Tamandua tetradactyla: one gene and its partners. The protein of the gene in region 1 purifies or fractionates together with the protein of each later gene. This does not show direct contact. Links are inferred from orthologs where the notes say so. Each region holds a gene or a part of one and is shown in the gene's direction. Other genes may lie near its edges.

Region 1 (6,996 bases):
TTACAGGCCTCTAGTTTGTCTAGGTGTGTCCCTGCTTAATTCTCTCTCCTATGGACTCAGGCCTACCCTAACACTGGAGACAGCCCCTGCACAGAGGGAATGTATGAAGTCTTGGCCCAGCGATGGATTTGTCTGTGAGCTTTCTACCCATTATCCTAATTCCTCGTCCCACCCTGGATTTAGGCTGTGTTCTGGTCCCTGTTAGCATAGATTATTGAAAGCAATTTCCTACCCTTGATAATATTCCAATGCCTTGCTCCAGCCCCAAGTTTCCTCTGGACTTGATCTTCAGTCTTGATACCCTCTTCTCTGTGTATACATAAGCTGTGTGGTTCAAAACTGCTCCTCTGCCATCTCTCTTGAATGTCTGAGGTGGGCATCACTGCTCCCTAATATGTGTCTCTCTTCCCTGGGCCACATGACCTTCTTGAGTCACTTCCTAAGTGTTCCTGCCTAAGAGTGCCACCACTGATCTCAAAGATGCCTGCCCACCCAGCTGGGGAATCCCTTCCAACACCTTCCTGGCTCACCTCTGTGACCTTGGACAAATCATGTGCAAACTTTCTAAGCTGAGGTTTCCTTATCTCCAAAATACATAGAAGAGCCCTTCCAGCTCTAAGTGACCAAAGTTCTTCTACTCACATATGGAATCCAAGGGCCCCCTTTTCTCCCCAGGCCCTAGGGTATTTGCTATCCAGGTCCATCCTATTACACCTCTTCCCCTACTCCAGGGGTGGGGTGGATCGGCCCTTGGAAAAAAGCAGAGCAGTCTGTCTCCACAGAAACTACAACTTCCATCAGGCACTGCTTCAGCAGAACAGGAAAGGATGTGGGGGCGGACTCCAGTGTCCTAGGAGCTCCGGAGACAAACTACAACTCCCAGGAAAGAGTGAAACCTCAGCTGCTCAAACGAGGGAAAAGCACTCTGACCCGAGCCGGGGCCTGGCGGGAACCTTCCCGGAAAGCCTCCCCCCGAAAGGGCGTGGTCGTACCTGTGGGCGGGGCCATGGGAGCAAGAGGAAGAAGTTACCTGTTGGATTGTTCTATCCACCTTCTTCCCCACTCTACCCCTAAGAGGGAAGCCGCAGATCATAAGCCTCTCCCGAAAAGAGGTAAAGGGACGTAGCCAAAGGAAATCGTGGGGTCGCGGCAGAGACTGGCTATTGCATCCTGTAGGAGGGACCCAACAGCCACTTTCTACCTGCTCAGTCAGGTGAACCGGCCCTTAGGGGCGGGGAGCTGCGTGAAGGAAGGGCAAAGACGGAGGAGGTATTTATTTGTTCGTTTTGAAGACTATATTTGGAGCCCCAGTTGCAGTTGGGTCTGGGGCCCTCGCTCAATCTCGGGAAGAAGGAAGAACACAGGCGACTTCTCCGCAACAGAGCAAAGGCGGGTCTGGGCTGCCGTGTTTTCCTTAGCCAAAAAAAACGTTAGAGCTCCATGACTTCCGCGGTCTGGGGGGGTGCCGCCTGGTGGGGCCCACCGCCCCCGGCGCCAGCCCGGCCGCTCACCGACATCGACTTCTGCTCCGGGGCGCAGCTTCAGGAACTGACCCAACTGATTCAGGAGCTGGGGGTGCAGGAAAGCTGGAATAACGGGCCCAAGCCGGGGCCAGACCTCCTCCGGGCCAAGGACTTTGTCTTCTCTTTGCTTGGTAAGTAACACTCCTAGCCTCCGTACCCGCCCCGGCTTTGGGCCACGCCCCCACGATCCCTTCTCTTCCCTTAGGCCTCGTTCACCGCCGGGACCCCCGCTTTCCTCCCTTGGCAGAGCTCTTGCTACTTCACGGCGGGATTCGCGAGGGCTCCCTTGATCTGGGACCTGCACCTCTGGGTCCCTATGCCCGGGGACCTCACTACGACGCCGGCTTCACGCTTCTGGTGCCGGTATTTTTGCTGGACGGCACTGGGCCCGAGCTGCAACTGGATCTGGAATCCTGTTACGCACGGCTCCGCCTCCCCGAGTTGAAGCGCGGATCCTCAATCCGGGAAGCGTGGCAGGATTGCCTGGAACCTACGATTCCAGAAGGACGTGATTGGATCCCTCAAACCGAGAAAGAAGGAAGTTCCAAGGATCGGGAAAGCTCCGCGGACCAGCCGCACAGTAACCTCACTGTGCCTGAGCCTCACGTGTCTTTGGAAGAATCACCTAGTGACGTTCCAAAGCCGGAGGTTCCTCAGAGTGACATCATCGATCTTGATTCTCCCACATCTTTGAAGAAACTATGTGCTGACGTCACCAAGCTAGCTGTCGAATGTCGAGTCCCACAGCTGTCCGAGGAATGGGAGGCGTGGCCTACATTGTCCCCCGCCCAAGTTGCTGCCTGGTTCTTTGCTTCTCTGGCCGCGGTCGCCGAGACCCTGATTCCAATCCCAGGCTCTCCGCGCCTGGTGCACGCAGCCCGCCACGCGGGATTCACTACCATCCTCCTGGCCACTCCCGGTCCCCCGCGCCGCCTACTGCTCTTCGACCTGGTCCCCGTGGTGTCTGTGGCCGGCTGGCCCGAGGGGGCTCGGAACCACTCGTGGGCAGGCCCGCTGGCCTCCGGGCCCTCCTCCTTCTACCTGGTGCCCGGCGGCGTCACAGAGCGATTGGGCGCCTCTGGCTGGCAGCTCTGCTTCGCTCGCCAGGAGCTGGCGCTCAAGGCGCGCATACCGGCTCCGCTGCTGCAGGCGCACGCGGCGGCCCAGGCGCTGCTGCGCCCGCTGGTGGCCGGGACCCGGGCGGCGGTGCCCTACCTGCTGCGGATGCTGCTCTACTGGGCGTGCGAGCGGCTGCCCGCGCTCTACCTGGCGCGACCTGAGAACGCCGGCGCCTGCTGCCTGGGGCTGCTGGACGAGCTGAGCCGCGTGCTCGAAGCCGGGGCCTTGCCCCACTATTTTCTGAATGGCCGAAAGCTCCTGGCGGGGGACTTCGCTGCCGGGCTGCTACCGGAGTTGGCCCGACTCCGCGGGGACCCTGCTGGGGCTCTGCGGGCCGCGGTGGAGGAGGCCAAGGCTGCACGCAAGGGGGGCGGCTTGGCGGGCGTGGGGGGCGGGACCCATTAAAGAGTCAGCTCCTGTCAGCATGGAAAGTGCTTCTTCTGGGAAGTGGAATGCTGAGGGCTCTGGCCAGGCGCCTCTCCCGGGAGAAAGACTGAAGACCCCATTCTACAAGTCCTCGTGGTCGGTTCCTCCCAATATCCCCGCCCCCAGTCATTCATTCCGGCCTTTCCGCTCTCCAAATATGACGCCAGCTCCTCTTCGGCTCCAGTGCAGGCCCCCGCAATCTTCTTTCCCCAATAATTCCGGACTTTTCTCTTAGAAGTCAGTAGAGAAGGGGGAAATATATTTGCTGACAAAACGCGGAAAGGCGAGGTTTGGAGACTGGAAATTAACCGGTTTGATTCACACACCAGCGGGCATTTTAAAGAGGCCAGACTGCACCCCAGACTCGATCTCACTACTAACACCATCTCTCCAGTTATCCCCTTCTCCTCAACCAGTCCAGCCCTCACTCCATCCTGGGCAGCAGGGATCCCTCCTTTCTGTTCTTGAGGCGTCAACCATTCTGTCTTAAGCCCAACCATTCCCCCACCCACCCTCAACCAGTCCAGCCCTCACTCCATCCTGGGCAGCAGGGATCCCTCCTTTCTGTTCTTGAGGCGTCAACCATTCTGTCTTAAGCCCAACCATTCCCCCACCCAGAGTTTCGTTCATGGAATCGCCTCCCTATTCCTCCTCCTCCCAGCCGCCGCTCCGTCCTCACGTCCCGCCTCCAAGGAACCCCGGGGTTCCGCCGGCCCAGCTTCTCCCCCACCCCCACATTCCCGGCGTCTCCGCCCCCTGCCCCGCCCCCGGGAGGAGGGGGAGTTGCTGTCGCCGCCGCTGCCTCGGCTTTCCACTGCTGCTGCCGCTGCCGCTGCCGCCGCTGCGCCGGGTCCAGCCGCCAGGCCCAGGGCTCTGACTTCGCCGGACCAGGGTGCTTTGCCGAGACGCCCTCTCCTTCTTGGGGGTCCGGGGCATCCAGCCGGGTGCCGGGGAAAAGCCTGGCTTGCGGGGGACGGGGAGGGAGGAGCCTGGAGCCGGAGCCAGCGCCACCCGTCTCCGGATCAACAGGACAGGACAGGTTGAGGGGCGTCGGGAAGGAAGAGGCGATATCGGGGAGGAAGCCGAATCGGAGGAAGCGCAGAGTGATTGCTCTCACTAGGAGGGGGCCTGTTCACATCTGGGGACTGGTGACAACGTGGGTGCACTCCGCTCTGGGATGGGGGGTGGGGGTGGCTGGGTTGGAGGCTGTGGGAGCTAAACAGCACCAGCTGTCCCCGAGGAAATTTAAGGGGCAGGCAGAAAAAAAGGGACCCTCCTTATTCGAGGTGATAGAGGGTCCTGTGGAAAACCACCTGGTGTTTCCGTTAGGAAGGGTGGTTTTGGAGGTGACTTGGAAAGGAGTGGAGGGTGACAAGGTGAGAAAAGGGCTCATTAGCTGGAACCCTGGCCCACTAAAAGTGGGGGTAATGGTGAAAAAAGGTACCGTCTAGCGAGAAGGCCTGGAAACTTCTCACGCATCAGAACGGCCTGGCAATTCTAAGACATAGGTTTTGGGGATTTCAGCGAAAAAAGTGGGGGATCCTCTCCATTTAGAGGGTGGCAAAAGAAAAGAAAACCAAGGTTGGATTCCTTCCTGACACTGGACAGCTCCCCAGAAGGAGGTGAGGCAACCTAATATCCCTAAAGCTAAGAATCCACACTCTTTAGATTCCAGGAGTGGATTTGGTAGGGGAGCAGAGCCCCGAAATAGGGTGGAGAGCTGCCTGGGGCTATTGGAACCAAATCTTGGAAATTTTGGGGGTCTTGGTTTTGGGAGAGGGGAATCAGGGACAGCCACACTGGAGAACAGGGAAGGGAGAATTTTCAGTAGGTGGCAAAATTCGAGGCTGGGGTCAACTGAGGGGGGAGCAGGCTGCTGGGTCAGGAGGCGCCAGCCGGGCCCAAGGATTGGAGCTGGCAACTGTGGGGGTCTTAGCCTCAGGTCCTGTGGGTGGGACGGTGAGTCTGGGGGCCCGAGCAGCAAGAGCATGCCCTAGTGAGAGGGCTTCTCTGGGGGAGCCCCTTGCCCTCCTGGCGCCTGCCGGTTTGGGGGTATCTCCTCCCGGGGCGCCATGGCGGCGCTGGCCAGTAGCCTGATCCGGCAGAAGCGGGAGGTCCGCGAGCCTGGAGGCAGCCGGCCCGTGTCGGCACAGCGGCGTGTGTGTCCCCGCGGCACCAAGTCCCTTTGCCAGAAGCAGCTTCTCATCCTGCTGTCCAAGGTGCGACTATGCGGGGGGCGGCCCTCGCGGCCAGACCGCGGCCCAGGTGAGTGCGGCTGGGGCTGGGTCTCTCGGCCAGGGGGTCTCTGTCCAGGGGCTGAGACCAGGGACTCTGTCTGAAGAGTGGGACCCAGCTGTAGGGGACTCCCGGAGAGTGGGTGGGCCTGGGCGACAAAGTCCCAGCCTATCAGACTATGCCTCAGTTTCCTTTCTTATTTCCCGTAACCCAGACTCTCCTCCCTTTCGAGTAAGGGGAGAGCTTGAGGGGCTTAGTCTAGCGCCCCGAAGTTTCGCAACCCCTGCCCCCACCCCCCACCCCCGATATGGAATCCCCACCCCCACCATCCTCCGCCTACGTGCCGACTCTCGCGATCCTTTCAATCCCGAGCGGAGGGGGCTGGGGGCTCTGTACGCCTGGGTCACCCCGAGGATTTCTGCGGCTCCGGCCGCCCCGCCCCCGCCGCGGTTCTCCCGCCCTCCACGCCTTGGCTTGATTCCTCCCGGTCGAGTTCGCCTGGCTCAGGGCCAATCTCCCCAGCTCTCCCCCGGGTGTCCTTGCAGCTATTTCGCCAGACCGCCCCTCTGTGCGCCCTCCTCCCAAGACCAGCGTTTCTAGAAGGGAGCTGGGGACCCCCCCCCCATTACCCCCCATTCCTCCTCGCGAGACTCCGAAATCGGGTCCTACTGGCTCAGAGGACCCTCTGCCCGGAGGAACTCAGGCACATTAACGGGGCTGGAGGGGGCATGGAGACTGGGGGGTCGTACCACCTACAAAGCGGGGGACAGGGGAGTCTCGGAGAGCAAGCGACCAGAAAGAGTTGTCAGTATCAGCATGTGATCCCCGTCCAGGTACGACAGGCAGGGAGTCCCTTTGGCCCCACTCCCGCCGGCTCTCAGCTCCCCTGGGGGTGGCCCCCTCGAGCCCCCCCCCCCCCCGCCCTCCGCCCACCCTCCGTCAGCGGCCTTCAGCAGTGGTATGGTCCGTAGCCCACCCTCTGAGAGGGGACCCGGCCCCCACGTGACTCAGCCTGCCTCTCTATCTCCCTGGTCCCCCTCCCCCATCTCTTTGATATGGTACTGAATGCCCCCGCCCCACCCCAGGCGGGTTACCTGGATGAAGGGGAGAGGCTGAGCCTCAGAGAGGGCTGCCCCCCCCTCCCCCCCCCCCCCCCCCCCCCCCCCCCCCCGCGAGCCAGCAGACTGACAAACAGACAGACAGCCAGATGGACCAGTGTCAGACAGTCCGGCTCTGGGCCAGGCCCAGGCCTGAGCCAAGCGGGCAGCAATGCAGCAGCAGGTGCTGAGTCAGCACTGGGCTCTGTACCACCCCCACTCCTTTGGGGGAGCCCCTACCCTGTGGCCACCTTATGGCCCTCCCACCCACCCACACGCATTGGCAAATACATGCCCCTTCAGCAGCTCTGCCTGTCTCTTTCTCTCCTCTGCCTTTTGATATATCTCTTTTCCTTCTCCCTCCTTCCCTTCCCCCCCTTCTGATTGCGCTGTGGAGTAGGAATTAAACCATTTAAATAAATTTCAATAAATTAAACTGAAAGCTTATAGTTAGAGGAAGCAGAAGGGACTCACACTGAGCTTTCTCTGAAGCCAAAGAGGGTAAGAGAGCTGGGGCTCTGGGATCCCCTTCCTTTTCTCCATTCTCCTTTCTTTCCTCCCATCCCACCAAGTGAAGGAATGCTTCTGGGAACAGA
Region 2 (7,617 bases), about 44 Mb from region 1:
AAAGGAAAAACTAAGCAGGCGCTTCCATCCACCCTTGCTCCAGCAGCAGCCAGCCTGGCTGCGCAAGCAGAGAGAGTGGCTGGGCCCACAACCTGGTCTGAGTGAGGTCACTGAAGAGTGGGGGGAATTTACTGAGGATCCCCCTCCCCACACCTCCAAAATGATTTAGATGCAGCTTGAAGTGGGGGCAGGTGAAGAGTTTAGAGACCAGCAGCAGGAAGGACTAGAAGGTTTCTCTCCCTCCAACCCAAGCTTCAACTGGTTAGGTGTGTGGAGGCAGGGGGCTGCCCACACAGGCACAGAACTCTCAGGGCTCTGAAACCTACCAATGTGCCACATTACTGAGTGTCGATACAGAGCCAGGCACTGTCCTAGGCATCGAGTTTACCCTCCTGAAAATGATTGGTCCATGCGCTCAAAAGGAGCCCATTCCAGTGAGGGAAAGGGCAGCCCTTGAACTCAGGGACTGTCACCTACAACCTGGCAGGCTCCTGGAGGCGGGGATCAGGACGCAGCGTGGCATGGAACTTCATGCAAAGGGGATCATCCCTCCCTCCCTTACAGGGTTGTGTGAGACCAGGTAAGATAATCCATGTCAAGCACTTCTTATAGTACAGGCATAAAGATACAGCTCAATAAATGGTAGCTCTTCTTAGCCATCATTATAAGAAGTCTGTTTTATAGAGCAATTAGGGAGGAAAGGGCATTATTTTTGTTAAAACGATGTTCTAGTTTGCTAGCAGCCAGAATGCAATATACCAGAAACGAATGGCTTTTAAAAAGGGGAATTTAATAAGTTGCTGGTTTACAGTTCTAAGGCCGAGAAAATGTCCCCATTAAAACAAGTCTATAGAAATGTCCAATCAAAGGCACCCAGGGAAAGATACCTTGGTTCAAGAAGGCCAATGAAATTCAAAGTTTGTCTCTCAGATGAGAAGACACATGGCGAACCCAGTCAGGACTTCTCTCTCAGCTGAAAGGGCACATGGTGAACACGGCGTCATCTGCTAGCTTCCTCTCCTTGCTTCCAGTTTCATGAAGCTCCCCAGGAGGTGTTTTCCTTCTTTATCTCCAAAGTTGCTGGCTAGTGGACACTGCTTTGTGGTGCTGCAGCATTCTCTGCTCTCTCCGAATCTCTTATTCTCCAAAACGTTTCCCCTTTAATAGGACTCCAATAAACCAATCAAGACCTACCCAAATGGGTGGAGACATGTCGTCTCCACTCTTGACTAAATCACATCATCCAGGGTGATGATCTGATTACAGTTTCAAACATACAGTATTGAATAGGGATTATTCTACCTTTATGAAATGGGATTTTGATTAAAACATGGCTTTTCTAGGGGGCATTCTTCCTTTCAAACCAGCGCAAACAAACACATTTGGATTTTTGACATAAAGATGCCTGGGGCTGCACTGCCCTGTCCTTCAGCCTATTTGGCACACATGGCACACATGGATACATGAACTCTCTCCTCTGCAGTCAGAAGCTCCTCAGAGGGAAATCTGGAGGAACGGGTAACTGGAAGGGCCCCGGCACTTGAAGTCAAGGGATCTGGGTTCTGATCTTGGCACTGCTTGTGACCTCCGCACTGAATTACTGGGGCTCTCTTCCTCATTGGTAAAATAGGGTTTTTTGCATCTACATGCAAGACGGTGATAAGTATGATAATGTATGTGAAACTGCTTAACACAGTGCCTCGTCAATTACAGGTGCTCAATAAACGTGAGATTATCAGAGGCCGAGGAGACAAAGCTAAAGGGACATGGTAGGTGGAATGGAAACTTCTAGGTTATTGCTGGTAAGCCTCCCAGGTCTTTATGGGGGCAAAAGAGAGAGTGAGGAACAGTGTCCTTGGAGCAGAAATTTCACGCGGTCAATTATGTGATGTGTGGTCTGGAGGGGAAGGCCACAAGCTGAGAATGAGCTGAGAATCCAGCTTTACCCCTAAATATTAGCCTAACTCCCTTTCAGCTCACTTAGCCTCAGTTTTTTCCCTATAACTTTCGTACATGAGTTTTTAAAGATCTGGTCCATTGAAAACCACCCCCAGCCCAATCCATCAATACCCCATAAGTTCTTAATCCAAAACAGCTTACATACACAGTCTGCACGAAGCATACCCATGCCATCTGGGCCTTGGGCATGTTCTTGTAACTTTTCCCAAGTGTAGTTCTGCTCCCCAGCATACTGTAAACTACCCAAAGGGAGGGACCCTACCTTTATGGAGAACCTAAATATTGTAAAATCATACCGTCCTACCAGTCTGTCATTGATGATCTTGCAGAAAAATGTGGAACAAAATGATTTTGACTGTGAGTGGAAAAGTATCTGCAAAAGTGAGTGGAAAAGTATCTGCAAAGCCCCCTTTGGGGAGTGGTGAGAACGGGGAGAAATTCAACTTCCCCAAGTTGAATTCTTGATATTCTCACAAACAGTGTGGACAACTAAAGGTATAGGCAGAGCCCCCAGTCTTGGGGTTTGTTCATATGAAACTTAACCCCGCAAAGGATAGGTCAAGTCTACTTAAAATTTAGGCCTAAGAGTCACCCCCAAGAGAGCCTCTTTTGTTGCTCAGATGTGGCCCCTCTCTCCAGTCAACACAACGAGCAGTCTCACCACCCTACCCCTCTCTACATGGGACATGACTCCCATGGGTGTGGACCTTCCTGGCAACGTGGGACAGAAATCCTAGAATGAGCTGAGACTCAGCATCAAAGGATTGAGAAAAACCCTAGAATGAGCTGAGACTCAGCATCAAGGGATTGAGAAAACCTTCTCAACCAAAAGGGGGAAGAGTGAAATGAGACAAAGTGTCAATGGCTGAGAGATTCCAAACAGAGTCGAGAGGTTATCCTGGAGGTTATTCTTATGCATCAAGTAGGTATCATCTTGTTATTCAAGATGTAATGGAGAGGCTAGAGGGAACTGCCTGAAAATGTAGAGCTGTGTTCCAGTAGCCATGTTTCTTGATGATGATTGTACAATGATATAGCTTTCACAATGTGACTGTGTGATTGTGAAAACCTTGTGTCTGATGCTCCTTTTATCTACCTTGTCAACAGATGAGTAGAACATATGGAATAAAAATAAATAATAGGGGGAACAAATGTTAAAATAAATTTAGTTTGAAATGCTAGTGACCAATGAAAGGGAGGGGTAAGGGGTTTGGTATGTAAAATTTTTTTTTCTGTTTTTGTTTTATTTTTCTGTTTTCTTTTTATGTCTTTTTCTGAATTGATGCAAATGTATGGGAAATGATCGTGATGATGAATATGCAACTATGTGATGATATTGTGAATTGCTGAGTGTATGTGTTGGGAATGTTTGTGCTTCTTGTAATTTTTTTTAATTAATAAAAAATTAAAAAAAAATGATTTTGACTGAGAAAGGTTAGGGCCATATCTTGAGTATAATGTCCTTTTAATAACCCATGAATCTGTCCTCTGAGAATGTATCTAAATCTTTTGTAATTTGCTTAGGTGGCATGTTAAATCAGTATTATAATATATACTATTATATAATATATTTACATTTAAATGGCAATATGGAACAGACCATAAATGTGTCAGTTCTGCCAATATAAAATTTTGGTCTAGGCAGGGTGTTTTGAAACGTAGCAATGGTTTATTGAGCAAGCTACATGCCAGGCACTGTTCTCTCTCATTGAATCCTCCCAATTGACTGATGAGACAATTATTACTATTATCCTCCGTATTTTACAGGCGAGAAAATTAAGGTGAAAAGAAGTTTATCAGCTTGCCTACCTTTATACATTAGTAAGTGGAAATGGGCAGAATTGGAATTTATAGCTTCCACTCTTAACCACCTTGCTATGCTACCTCTTGCCAGGCATGCTATTTTAAGAAGGTTTGAACTCATCTCACTGGGTCTAAAGCCAAACCATAGGGGCCACTGATACTTCTCTTTCTGTCCTTACGCTGGGCCCCTTGACCAACTCTCCAGGACCAGTTCTATCACGGGGTCATGACCTCCCAAGCTTTGCTTGAAATCACCAAATACACACAATACACTCTAGATACACTCTACTTATCTATTATAGCCTTGCTTACAAGCTGTCTTGGGGTTGCTTTTTAGCTATTTAATGTATATTTGTTTTACCTCCCCAACTAGATTGTAAACACCTAGAGGACAGGGACAGTATCTTTCTCTTTATTCTCTCACAGTGCCCAGGACAAGGCTGAAGACGCCAAGGGATCTCATTAAATGTTGTTGACAGACTCCACCGTCCTCCCACCTCGGCCACTCCCCTTTCCCTCAGTGGCCCTCTCCCATTGCTTTTCCCCCTCCGGCCCCGCCCCTCCCTCGTGGATTTCGTCCTTCCTCCTCTGCTTCTCCGCCCCGCCCCCCCTGCCCCGGGCTCCCCGCAGCATCTCCAGCGTCCCCTAGCGACAAGGCGGTCGCTCCTAGCAACCGCATCTCGGTTCCCTGACGACGGCGGCACGTAGGGCCACGTCAGCGCGCTGTGGCCCCGCCCCGGCGCCACTGACCCCGCCCCCTATGCCTCGTTTGCCGCCGCCGCCGCCGCCGCCGCCGCCGCTGCCGCCGCCGCCCGAGACTCGCGCAGAGCAGTTATGGCGGATCCCGCAGCCCCCGCGCCCGCAGCTCCAGCTGCCGCCCAAGTCCCGGCTCCGGCCTCGGACGCGGCTCCGGCCCCGGCCCCGGACGCGGTCCCCGCCCCAGCCCCGGCTCCCGCCCCGGATTCGGCCTCCGGGCGGTCCTCGGACTCCGGCCCCGAAGCCGGCTCGCAGCGCCTGCTGTTCTCTCACGACCTGGTGTCGGGCCGTTACCGCGGATCGGTGCACTTCGGGCTGGTGCGCCTCATCCACGGCGAGGACTCGGACTCGGAGGGCGAGGAGGAGGGCCGCGGGAGCTCGGGGTGTTCCGAGGCCGGCGGCCCGGGCCACGAGGAGGGCCGGGCCAGCCCGCTGCGCCGCGGCTACGTGCGCGTCCAGTGGTACCCGGAGGGCGTCAAGCAGCATGTGAAGGAGACCAAGGTGCGGGCTGGGGGCGACCGGCGGGGAGAGCGAGGCGTGGCCGCCGCGGTGGGGTGCGGGAAGGCAGCACGAAGGGCGCGAGGGTCGCCTCGGGCGGCTGGGAGCGGGGGGCCCCCTGGCTGGAGGTCGCGGGAAGCGGGGAGTCCGCTGCCTGAACCCCAGGCCGTGGCAGGGTAGGTGTGCCAGGCGCCGCCCGGAATGGTGCAGCTGCAGTGGGCCGCGGGGGCAGGACGAACCTCAGCGAAGGGTACGCTCCGGTGCAGTGGGCCCGTGCAAAGTCATTGCACCAGCCCCGGGAGCACGCGCCAGCTGTGCACTGCTGGCCGGGGACGGGCCCTGGGCTTCCCGGCTGGAAGGGGACATTCATACCGTGCCGTGCTGTCTTGGCGGCGGCAGAAGCGGAGACGAGGACGGGCTGCGGCGCGGGGAGCGCCTCAGGCCCTGGGACGCGTTCGGCATTACACCAGTGCGGCGTTTTGTTGACCCCCAAGGAGCTACCTACCGCATTGTGCATCCAAAAGGAAGGCCGTGCGGTGTCGGTGCGGGGAGGGCTTGTGGGCGTTCCAGAGCAGAGATCGAGGGGGAAATCACGGCCGATGGAAAAACCGGAGAAGTTCACTAGGTTACAGAATTCACGGATTCGTTCTGGTGAAGAAATTCAGAGCTGTTTATGGTTGACCTTACTGCCTTATCTAATTGCTGCGGGGAACTTTGGGAGTAAAATCATTAACATTCAGCACCTCGACATTAATAGACTGGGGGAGAATGTGACAGCTTCCACAGGATTGATGACTCCTGAGTACATTTGGACTTCTTGAGAAAAATACTATAGAGAGCCACCAATTGGGAAACCTGGAGGATTTTTCTTGTGTAGGGCTGTTAGGCAAACATCAGATCCCCATATGTTATTGGGGTGAGGGTGGTGCATATAGCAGTTTTACACAGCGAAAGGTTTATCGTCATAAACCTGAAACCTTGAGCCAAGGTTGATTTGGTGGCTTTTCATGTCTTGTTTTTCAGAGAGCGAATTCCTATCAGTGATTCACAGACATACACACACACACCCCCCTCTATCTCATGCCTCTTCTTCCTCGCCTCCTTCCCTTCCCTTCCCTTTCAGGAAGACATTTCTAAGCAGGAATCAGGCCTGGACCATGGCTGCCAAGGATACTGAGAGGTCTGATTTCAGGGCACAGCACTTTAGAAGTTAGTCTGGGTTTCTCACACACTGGGAGACAAAGGAGACGGAGGAACTGGGCATCATGCCACACTACAAAGGGGGTCTGTGACGAAGACTCCTGGTAGGGAGAAAGGCCCCGCTCTGGGGAAGAGCCTGTGATCCATTTCCCGGTGGCAGAAGTGAATGCTGATACCAGCAGGGTCTTTTTCTCTCTAATGCACATGCATCTCCAGACACAAATCCACACCCATGACCCCCGTATCCTCTCTGAAAAATGTAAATCAGGCCATAGCTTCTCAGGTGCAGAAAGGAAATTATAAGCGCAATTACAAAAATATTTGAAAAATAATATTTTTTTCCATAGAATGCTGATTTAAAACTACCACCAGCATTGCTATGTCAGGAGGAAGGGATCGTTGCTTCACACGCTGTGTATTGTCTTACTAGCACACGATTGCTGGTATCTTTCTGTGGATTTAAAGAAAAATGTTTCCTCCAACCATCTTCTGTAGGGGGTTTTGACTTTTGGAATGCAGCTCACTTTGAGTCTTGCTTTCTGTATGTGGTGGCCTCCGGCTCTGGGACTCTGACTGAGGCCACCCCAGCTCGGTGCTGGAAGCTGCTGCGTTTATCAGTTGTCTTTCCTGCCCATCTTGACTTTGGTGGTTAACTTTGTTTACGGCTGTGTTCTGCCTGCCTTCTCCACCATGTGTAATACAGCGTTTGACTTAAAATACTTGTTTTGGAGCTAAGTAGAAAATGACTTGGACGTATTTGAAGCTACCCCCTTTTGACTTTGAGCTTGATGAGATGCATCCTGTGACTTGGGCGGTGATGTTCCTTGGCTGTTGTAGTGTCTGTGCTTCTGTGCTTAGCAAAAGCCAGGGCTCATAGGAATTCCAAGAAAGGGCCGGCCTGCAGTGCCCATTTATGGGTGGTAGAACCCAGTTCTTTTAGGACCTGTGGGTAGGTTTATTTGGGGAAGGGGATGAGGACTTTTATTCTCCCAGATGTTTATACCTGATGAGTGGCTCCCAGCCATCATGACAGATGACCCAGGTCAGCTGAACATTTTTCCTGCTTTGCTTCTGGCCTCTGACTAAGGTAGCAGGGTGGGTCCTGGGATTTTGCAGCACAGTAGCCTAGGGAGGTTTTCCTTCTCACCTCCCACTCCTTGTAAATTCCCTGGAGGTGACAGGGTACATGGTAAAAGAGAGCCCCTTTGACCAAGACTGATCTCTCTGTCGCTTAGCTGGCTGTGAGATTGCAGAACCCAGTTATTGATAGTAATGTAGTGACAGTCCTGGGAAACTTATTTTTTTAAAGCCACCACCTATTGGAATTCTTTTTTAATCATGCCCATTTAATGTGAAATATTTAGTAGGTTATGGTTATTTTTGTAGTTTCATGTTAATTTG
Region 3 (7,379 bases), on another chromosome or scaffold:
CTCAGGGGACTGCCCATTTTCTCCCAAGGGCTGGAACAACAGAGAAGGGAGGGGAAGGAGCTCAGTGGCAAGGAGGAATCCAGCCTGTCTGGGGAGTGAGTGCCCAGAGCTGGGCCTGGCAGCCCTCCCCAGGGCTTTCCTTCGAGCCAGAGGGGCAGATTACCAATTTGGAGTTGCGTTCCAGGGGCACGCCTCACGTTGATGACAATGTCAGTGATGCCTCCCAGATTTGTGCAACTTGGCAGTGGTGGGGCAGAGAGAAGCCTGGGATGTAGAGGGGGACACGCCCACCCCAGAGTTCTGGAGGCAGCGCTGTGGGGCCATTCGCCCGTGTCCATGCTGCCGCGGTCACCCACGACCTCCTGCAGTGTGTCCGCACTGTTCATCTGGTAGCTGACGAGGGCCTGGCCTGGAGGAGGGGAAGGGCCCACAGGAGAGCGAAGCCCCTCTCTGGTAGGGTGTCAGGCTGGCAGGGAGCAGACGGCTGTGAAAGGCAAAAACCTGGGCTCCCTGGGACTCCGAGACGGTGCCCCCACCCCCAGCCCCCGCAGAGGTATCAAACTCCACTCAAGCTGGCTCCTTATCGCAGTGGTCCCTTCGCCCAGATCTGCTTCTCCTCCAAACACAGCGGACGGCACCCCCGTGCACCCACAGCTCACCGGGCCCTGTGTGAGCTGACCTCGGCTTCATCGCTCCCTCTGCCCCACTTTGCACTCTGGGCCCCACCTGCACTGAAACACATACCAAGTTCCCAGATCATGGCAAGACGTTTCAATAGCCCTGCCTTTTCTCCTGCTGATCGTTCACCCTGGCAATCCCCCCTACCTTGTCCAGCTGCTTAGCTTTCAAGCGTCAGCTCAGACAGCATCTCCCTCTATGAAGTCCCCCTCCCAACTCCAGGTAGAGATCAAGCCTTCGTCGCATTTTTCTCTGTTAAGTCCCAACATTGAGTGCTGCTCCTGAAACATCTTCAGCAGTCAATATATATTTTACGAATAAACGAACAAATAAGTGAATGTGGAGGGTAAATGCGAAGGAGGACAGAAGAGTGAAATGGATCACATATACCAAGCTCACCTGCGGGGCCGCAGGGCCACTACATTTCTGGTGGCAGCATCTCCCACCCCCTCCTCCCACCCCTGTCCAGAACAGGGTCCCCTTTGGTGTCCAGGCCCTTTGGAGACTTCCTCACCACACCACACACACCAGGTGTACCTGTCCTTGGGTCTCTGCTTTTCTGGCCCCTGGACAGCTCTATCAGCTGAGTGGGACTGAGCTGTTCAGAAGGGTGGGCCTGCTTGCAGAGACTCTGAGTGAGGTGGGCAGATGGACAGAAGACCACTCATTCCTTGACATCCATGTGAGGCGACCCCCCCCTTAGCTGGGCTGCGTGGAACCATTTTCGGAGTGGTGGGGGTAGCACGCTATGGCCTTCATCAATGTGATGTCGCTGCACTCCTCGGCTGGGTGGGCTCTTTGATCTCTGGCCCACACATGGGGAGTGGGGAGGGGAGGACAGGCAGCCACCCATGTCCTCAGCAACAGGTAGGTTGCCAAGAACGCCTCTGGGTCCTGGCCTGCCATGAACCGTACAGGCCTGCTACCCTTCCACCAGGGCAGGGAGGGCTGCCCCTCCCGCCTTTCAGCCTAAGTACCCCCAGCTCCCTTAGATCAGCCTCACCCACCAAGCCTCTCCTCGGGCCCAGTCTCAGGTGAGTGGAGAATGACATGCTGCTAGCTTCTTGGCCCCAGCTGCTCAGGCATGGCCTCCTCTGGTCCTGGCCCAAGGCTCCACCCTCCTCAGCGGCAGCAGTGGTGCAGACAACGCTGGGAGACCGGTGTGAGGGGAAGCCTGTTACTTTGGTCTAGGAGGAGGCAAAGAAAGGTTGAATCTCACCACCTGACTGCCATGATGCATAGCTGAACTGGGGAACTGAAAGATGAAGCTTTTGGATAATGGAAGTTTTCAAAATCAAATCCAAAAGATAGACACATCTATGCTTTTTAATTTAATAATTTAATTTGAATAAGCTATCCTAAGTTGCGTGTCTTTCTATTCGAGGGACTTGGAATTTTCATCCCTGGTTCTAACTGGCTCTGCCTCTGTTCTTTAAGCGGGCATCTCTGATCCCTGGGCTCTGATAACAATTCAGGCAAATCCACAGCTTGAAAGCTACTGCGGGCCTTAAAGAGTTGTGGGTGAGGCTGGTGTGATTCTTGGCTCTACCTGGGAGATGAGGAGAAAAATGACAGTCTGGCATGCTTATGGATGAATCTGACATTCTGGTCCTCTGTCTCTAAGCCCTTCTGCTAGAAAAATGCCCCTGAAAGGGGTGTCTGGGTGCTCTGAAGGCTGGGCCAATGAGAGAAGCATGTAAGAGAATCTATCTAAAAGCTCAAAACCGGGATCTGCAGAAGTCTGCCTTCTTCTAGGCACTTCCACAGCCCACTTCAAACAAAGAGCCTCATCAAGCTGGATGGTTAGAATGTGGGCTTCTCCGACTAAGACTTCAGGGCACCCAGTGGAGAGTATTGCACACACCAGTGGAAAAAATGTTATTTCAAACCATAACTTCTTTCTTGGAATTATTGATCCTGTTAAAGGCTCGGTGGGTTTCTGGAAATAAAAAGGTGGATTCAGAGAGGAATTTAGGGGAAAGGCACCAGAAGACTCACATTGCTCAGCATAGTTGAGAAAAATCGGGTTTCCCAGAGTCAATCAGAAAAGAAAGGGTGAGATAGAGGGATGGGGGGGAGTAAACAGGAGGGAGTTAAATTAGATGGCAATGGCTACGGAACTTTGCAGAATAGTGTGGCCAGTGAGAAATCCCGGGTGTCAAAATAGCCAAAATAACTTCTCAGGACATTTCAGAAATGTGATTTTAAATTGTTGACTGTGTGATGTAACCTCTCCCCTGTGACCCACAAACCTTTGCTAAAAATTCTGTTACATGTTACAACTTTATTTTTGTGTCTGCTTTGGGATAGGGGTGGGGGTTGAAAGGAACAAAAGCTGTGTTCTATATCTGAATTGACAGCAAGAGTCAAAGAAGCAGTCACATGATCAGGATAATGAATAAAACTTCAGAGAAGACAGAAAACTGGAGCCAGACTTGACCATGAAAATGTAAGTTCCCCCAGTAATTCACAAAAATTTCAGGGAGGACATTGGACTTTCCACAGTAGCCAATGTAGTTTGAATCTCAAAGGACAAGCTACCTTAGCTGACATGTCAGATCCATTCAGGCTCTGTCTATCCCTCTAGACTGAGCCTTGCAAAACATAAAATGTCACACTCATCTTTGCATTCCAGGGCCTTGGCACAGGATAAGGCCCAGTAAAAATGTGCAAATGGCACACGTGTGCCCTGGGCGCCCACCGAGAGCTAGCAGAGCCTAATGCTTGGTGAACACCGAGGAGGAAAACATTCAGGCCAGGGACCCTCTGCGGACCCATCAGCTGATATTCTAATGGCCACTTCAGCGAAATCACCTCTGTGGCCTGGAGATCGCGTAAACAGGTAAGACCCAGGCGGACAATGGTGGAAGAGGTCAGAAAGGACAGTACACAAATCAGACTGTCCAAAGTTTCTTATGACCAATCCCTATGGGGTGATGGAAGGAGCCATCACCGCCCTTGGAGAGGGTAATTCTGGTCCAAAAGAAACTGGGCAGAGTAGGCTGTCCCGCGCCCCAGATTATTCCTAGGAATGGCCGTAGAATGTGTCTTTTGGGGTTCATGCCTTTTCTGCTAGGTATCCCTCCTACTCCTCTCAGAGACGTCGCCCGGAATCCTGCAGCCCAGAGACCCTCCACCCCACGTCACCCTTGCAAGAATTACACGTCGCTCGCAGGGCTGATGGCGCCATCTGGCGGCGCAAAGGGTCCTGCTCACCCTGGTACACCTAAGAGCCCCACCGAGGAGGGAAGGCTTCGGCATCCAAATCCAGCGTGATGACGTCACGACAGCGCGCCCTTTCTCCCCGCCTCTTCCCCCTCCCCGGAGCTGCCAGTACTTGTCGTGGCGTCACCGCCCTCTGCCCTTACTTTGCGTGCGTGTCTGCGTGTGTCGGAGGTGGCGGCGCGGGCCGATCGGAGCTTCGCGCGGCTGCTTGTGGTGTTCCTTCTGCCGCCGTCGCTGTCGCGCTCTGTTAGACTGCCCGGCGGACGAGGCGCTGGCCAAAGCACCTCAGAACCGAACGCAGCCCGGCGTGGGACCGGGTGGGAGGGTGGGCGAGCGCGTGTCGGAGGGCGCAGTGCGGGCGGCCGGGCGGGCGGGCGCCCGCGGAGGAAGGAGGCGGGGGCGGTGGGTCAGCCACGGGCCGGGCCGGCCGGGGGATGTCGATGCCTGACGCGATGCCGCTGCCCGGAGTCGGGGAGGAGCTGAAGCAGGCCAAGGAGATCGAGGACGCCGAGAAGTACTCCTTCATGGCCACCGTCACCAAGGCGCCCAAGAAGGTGCGGGGGCTCTGGGTGCAAGCGGGGACCTGGGCCTCGCGGAAGGGGCGCGAGCGAGTGCCAGCCCGGGCTCCGGCTAGTTCGGGACTTTAGGGGAGAGGGTTCCGGGTGATCGCGGACAGCTGAGGTTGTGTGGGAGGTAGCGGTGAGCGGCCCCAGGCCCATCCCGGGCTGGAAAGGCCGCCCCTGACTTCGTTTTCCTTTGTTCCTCGGCCGTAGTCCTCCGAGATCTTTTTGAGACCCGACAGGACCGGGTCTTAAATTTGCGGCTGACTTTTCCAGGACGAAAGGCCTCGAAGACAGGTGTGGGAGGGAGTGAATCAATTCAGCTGGCCCTTCTGACCAGGCCGAGGGAGGGGGTTGAGGGGGGTGCAGAAAATCCCCCTTCAGGTGAGTGTGTAAATCTGGCAGCACTTCTTTGGGTGAATCTTAGGGATCAGGGTCCGATTTATCCAGCAACTGCGTGATAACAAGAGAAAAGAATGCGTGGACCCAGCTCTTTTTATGCAGATAAAGGCAATGAGGGCGGTGTGAGATTGAAAAGAAAACTCTAATTTTCACCTTCGGCGGTCTTCCAGTTGCTTCAACAGCTGTAAGAAATTAGCATTTGGAGGTTAGTGACAGCAGACACTGTCATGGATGCAGGTTGATCCAGGAGTCATGTGAATAGACCACTTAGGCATCCCTTGAAAAAGGAGCTTGGGTGGGTTGGAGGGGTGGGTGGTAGGGAAGGATTGCTCATTCTTTACTGCACTTATTAAGGCAGAACAAGTTTAGTCTATTGTACCGTGGGTTGAGCTCAAAGGACACTCTTATTCTATTGTTGTGGAAGACTACATGGGAACGTTTGGAGGTTGTAGTCTAAATAGCGCTTTGAATGATAGAATTGGGATCCCCAGAGCTTTCTGATCATTTGCTGACAACTTCATCTTGACTTTACTCATGCCCATCACCTGGTTAACAGTCGATCAGAGAACCTTTGCAAAGAGGTGACCTTTCTGAAGCCAGTGAGAACCCGGATAAATATTTCAGTCTAGTATAAAGAGAGTGTTTCAAGGCTATCTCTGCCTGCAGTGTTTGATAGAAAGCAGTGCTCAAGTTTTGCAGGAATAGTTACAGTTCTTAAGGCTCCTACACCTGAACTAGTTAAACTACCTTGAGTTGGAAACATGGCTTTAAAAAAAAAGAAAGAAATTTAATCTACTACTCCAGAAAGCAAATGCAAAATTGAAAAGACAAGTCACCATAGTGCACTTTATCTTTGTTTTCTCTAAAACTTGAAATCTTAACAACAGAATGTCTTTAAAATATTGAAGATCCCTTGACTTTAAGGAGTAATTAACCTTATTTTTAGAGCTCTCAGTTCAGCAGATTACTTTGTTGGGGCTGTATTTGTATTCTGCACTGTTCTTTGAAGAAACAGTCACAGCTCTTTCAAGCAAAATTCTTGTGAGTAGTACCTTAGGTGAGTTAGGGGGAAAATGAGAAAATGCTTAATTCCCTGAACTCTTCCCCCCCACACACCCCCCATTTTCTAGTCATTTCAGGGTTTGGGGTGTCTTTATTCTTACCTTTTTTAGTAAACCTTTATTCTTACTTGTCAGTGCCACTGTTGATAAGACAAAGTTTGCATTATGGATTGTAAACTTTCATAAAGACAAGGACTCTCATTCACCATTGAATCCATTGTGCTCAGTACTGTATCTAGCTTATAGGAAGTACTCAATTATTAATTGCCCGCTTGGCTAACTATTAACTGAGATGTCAGTAGGGTTGTCTATTCCTCCTCTCTTCCCAGGAGGAATATTACTAATGTGTATTTTTGTCAGGCCAAGTGCTAATGATTAGAGACTCGTATTCCGTTAGTTGAAAGAAGCAGTCTCTGCCGGGGATGTGATAAGACCCTGCTGTGAGTTACCATTTGCTGGTAAATGTGCCCCTGTGTTTTTAGTTTTACTTTTTCTGAGCTTTATTGTTTAGCATTTACACAGCACTTTGTAGTAAAGTGCTTTATAATGACTAATTACTCTTTCTCTGGTGATGATGAAATCCATTTATTTAGTTAATGGGTCAGTTGAGTACTAGTTCAAGGTCACATAGCAAGTCCTTGGTAATTTGTTTTTCAGAATTTCAGCTGAGTTGGACATTATGATTCAGGTAACTTGTCTACTTCTGCTGTGTGTTGATGATGTGAGAAAGCATGGGAAAAATAAAAGGAAAAAAAGTAACCTGGCCAGGTACTGAATGGTATGAGAAAAGGGCCTCTCACCTGTGAGGATTGCAGTTTGACTTTAGACCAAGTAATTCTTGAATAATTCCAGACCCTGAGGCCATTCAGGAAATGAGGTCATTGCTGGGGCCAGTGAGAGGGTACAGGTTACTTGAGGGTGACCTTGATGGTCCTTAATCAGGTCATATCTCAGAGGAGCTTTCTTGTTAATTCACCTTGTCTGCCTTCATTTAGGTAGAGTGAATATCCTGCAATTAAAAGCATTGATAGCTGGATTCTTTTGCTATAATCATGATTTGCTCAGTTTTATATGCCCCTGGGGTCTAGTACAGTGCTGTTGAGGTAACAGGGCTTGTTGGTTTGATTCAAGGATCCATCTAGCTGTCAAGAAGCCAACTAAGTAGGTTCCTAAGTAAATTAGTTTCTGTGCCGCAGTTTCCTTATCTGACAAATAAGTTGTTATTTGAAATAGGTAGAGATAGGAACATGTTGGGAGCTAAATAGCAAGTGTGCCTTTAAAAAAAAGTCTGTTTATATCTGGTATATTTTCCTGTTTTTAAGAGCATCTGAGATGGCTTAGAGTACAGAAGGTATAGACAATATAAATAGGAAGGAAAGTCAAAAATATAATAAGAAGGAAAGAAATATTTTAACCCTGAGGGCTAAAGTTGTTGATGAGCCTGATCATTGTA

The links.
Region 2: the proteins of FGF11 (region 1) and UBE2O purify together in Homo sapiens (affinity purification with mass spectrometry; 3 studies listed by BioGRID and IntAct, with this or other methods). This does not show direct contact. The link is inferred for Tamandua tetradactyla from reciprocal best matches to the Homo sapiens genes FGF11 and UBE2O.
Region 3: the proteins of FGF11 (region 1) and AHCYL1 purify together in Homo sapiens (affinity purification with mass spectrometry; 3 studies listed by BioGRID and IntAct, with this or other methods). This does not show direct contact. The link is inferred for Tamandua tetradactyla from reciprocal best matches to the Homo sapiens genes FGF11 and AHCYL1.

Annotation. Positions count from the first base shown.
Region 1 is NC_135332.1:61,286,069-61,293,064, forward strand, and holds the start of FGF11 (fibroblast growth factor 11), read left to right. Parts: upstream 1-3,896; 5' UTR 3,897-5,140; coding exon 5,141-5,333; intron 5,334-6,996. Other genes in the region: TMEM102 (transmembrane protein 102), read left to right, coding at 1,441-1,654, 1,729-3,047.
Region 2 is NC_135332.1:17,351,430-17,359,046, reverse strand, and holds the start of UBE2O ((E3-independent) E2 ubiquitin-conjugating enzyme), read left to right. Parts: upstream 1-4,596; coding exon 4,597-5,019; intron 5,020-7,617. UniProt on the Homo sapiens protein: E2/E3 hybrid ubiquitin-protein ligase that displays both E2 and E3 ligase activities and mediates monoubiquitination of target proteins. Negatively regulates TRAF6-mediated NF-kappa-B activation independently of its E2 activity.
Region 3 is NC_135337.1:12,940,368-12,947,746, reverse strand, and holds the start of AHCYL1 (S-adenosylhomocysteine hydrolase-like protein 1), read left to right. Parts: upstream 1-4,292; 5' UTR 4,293-4,337; coding exon 4,338-4,457; intron 4,458-7,379. UniProt on the Homo sapiens protein: Multifaceted cellular regulator which coordinates several essential cellular functions including regulation of epithelial HCO3(-) and fluid secretion, mRNA processing and DNA replication.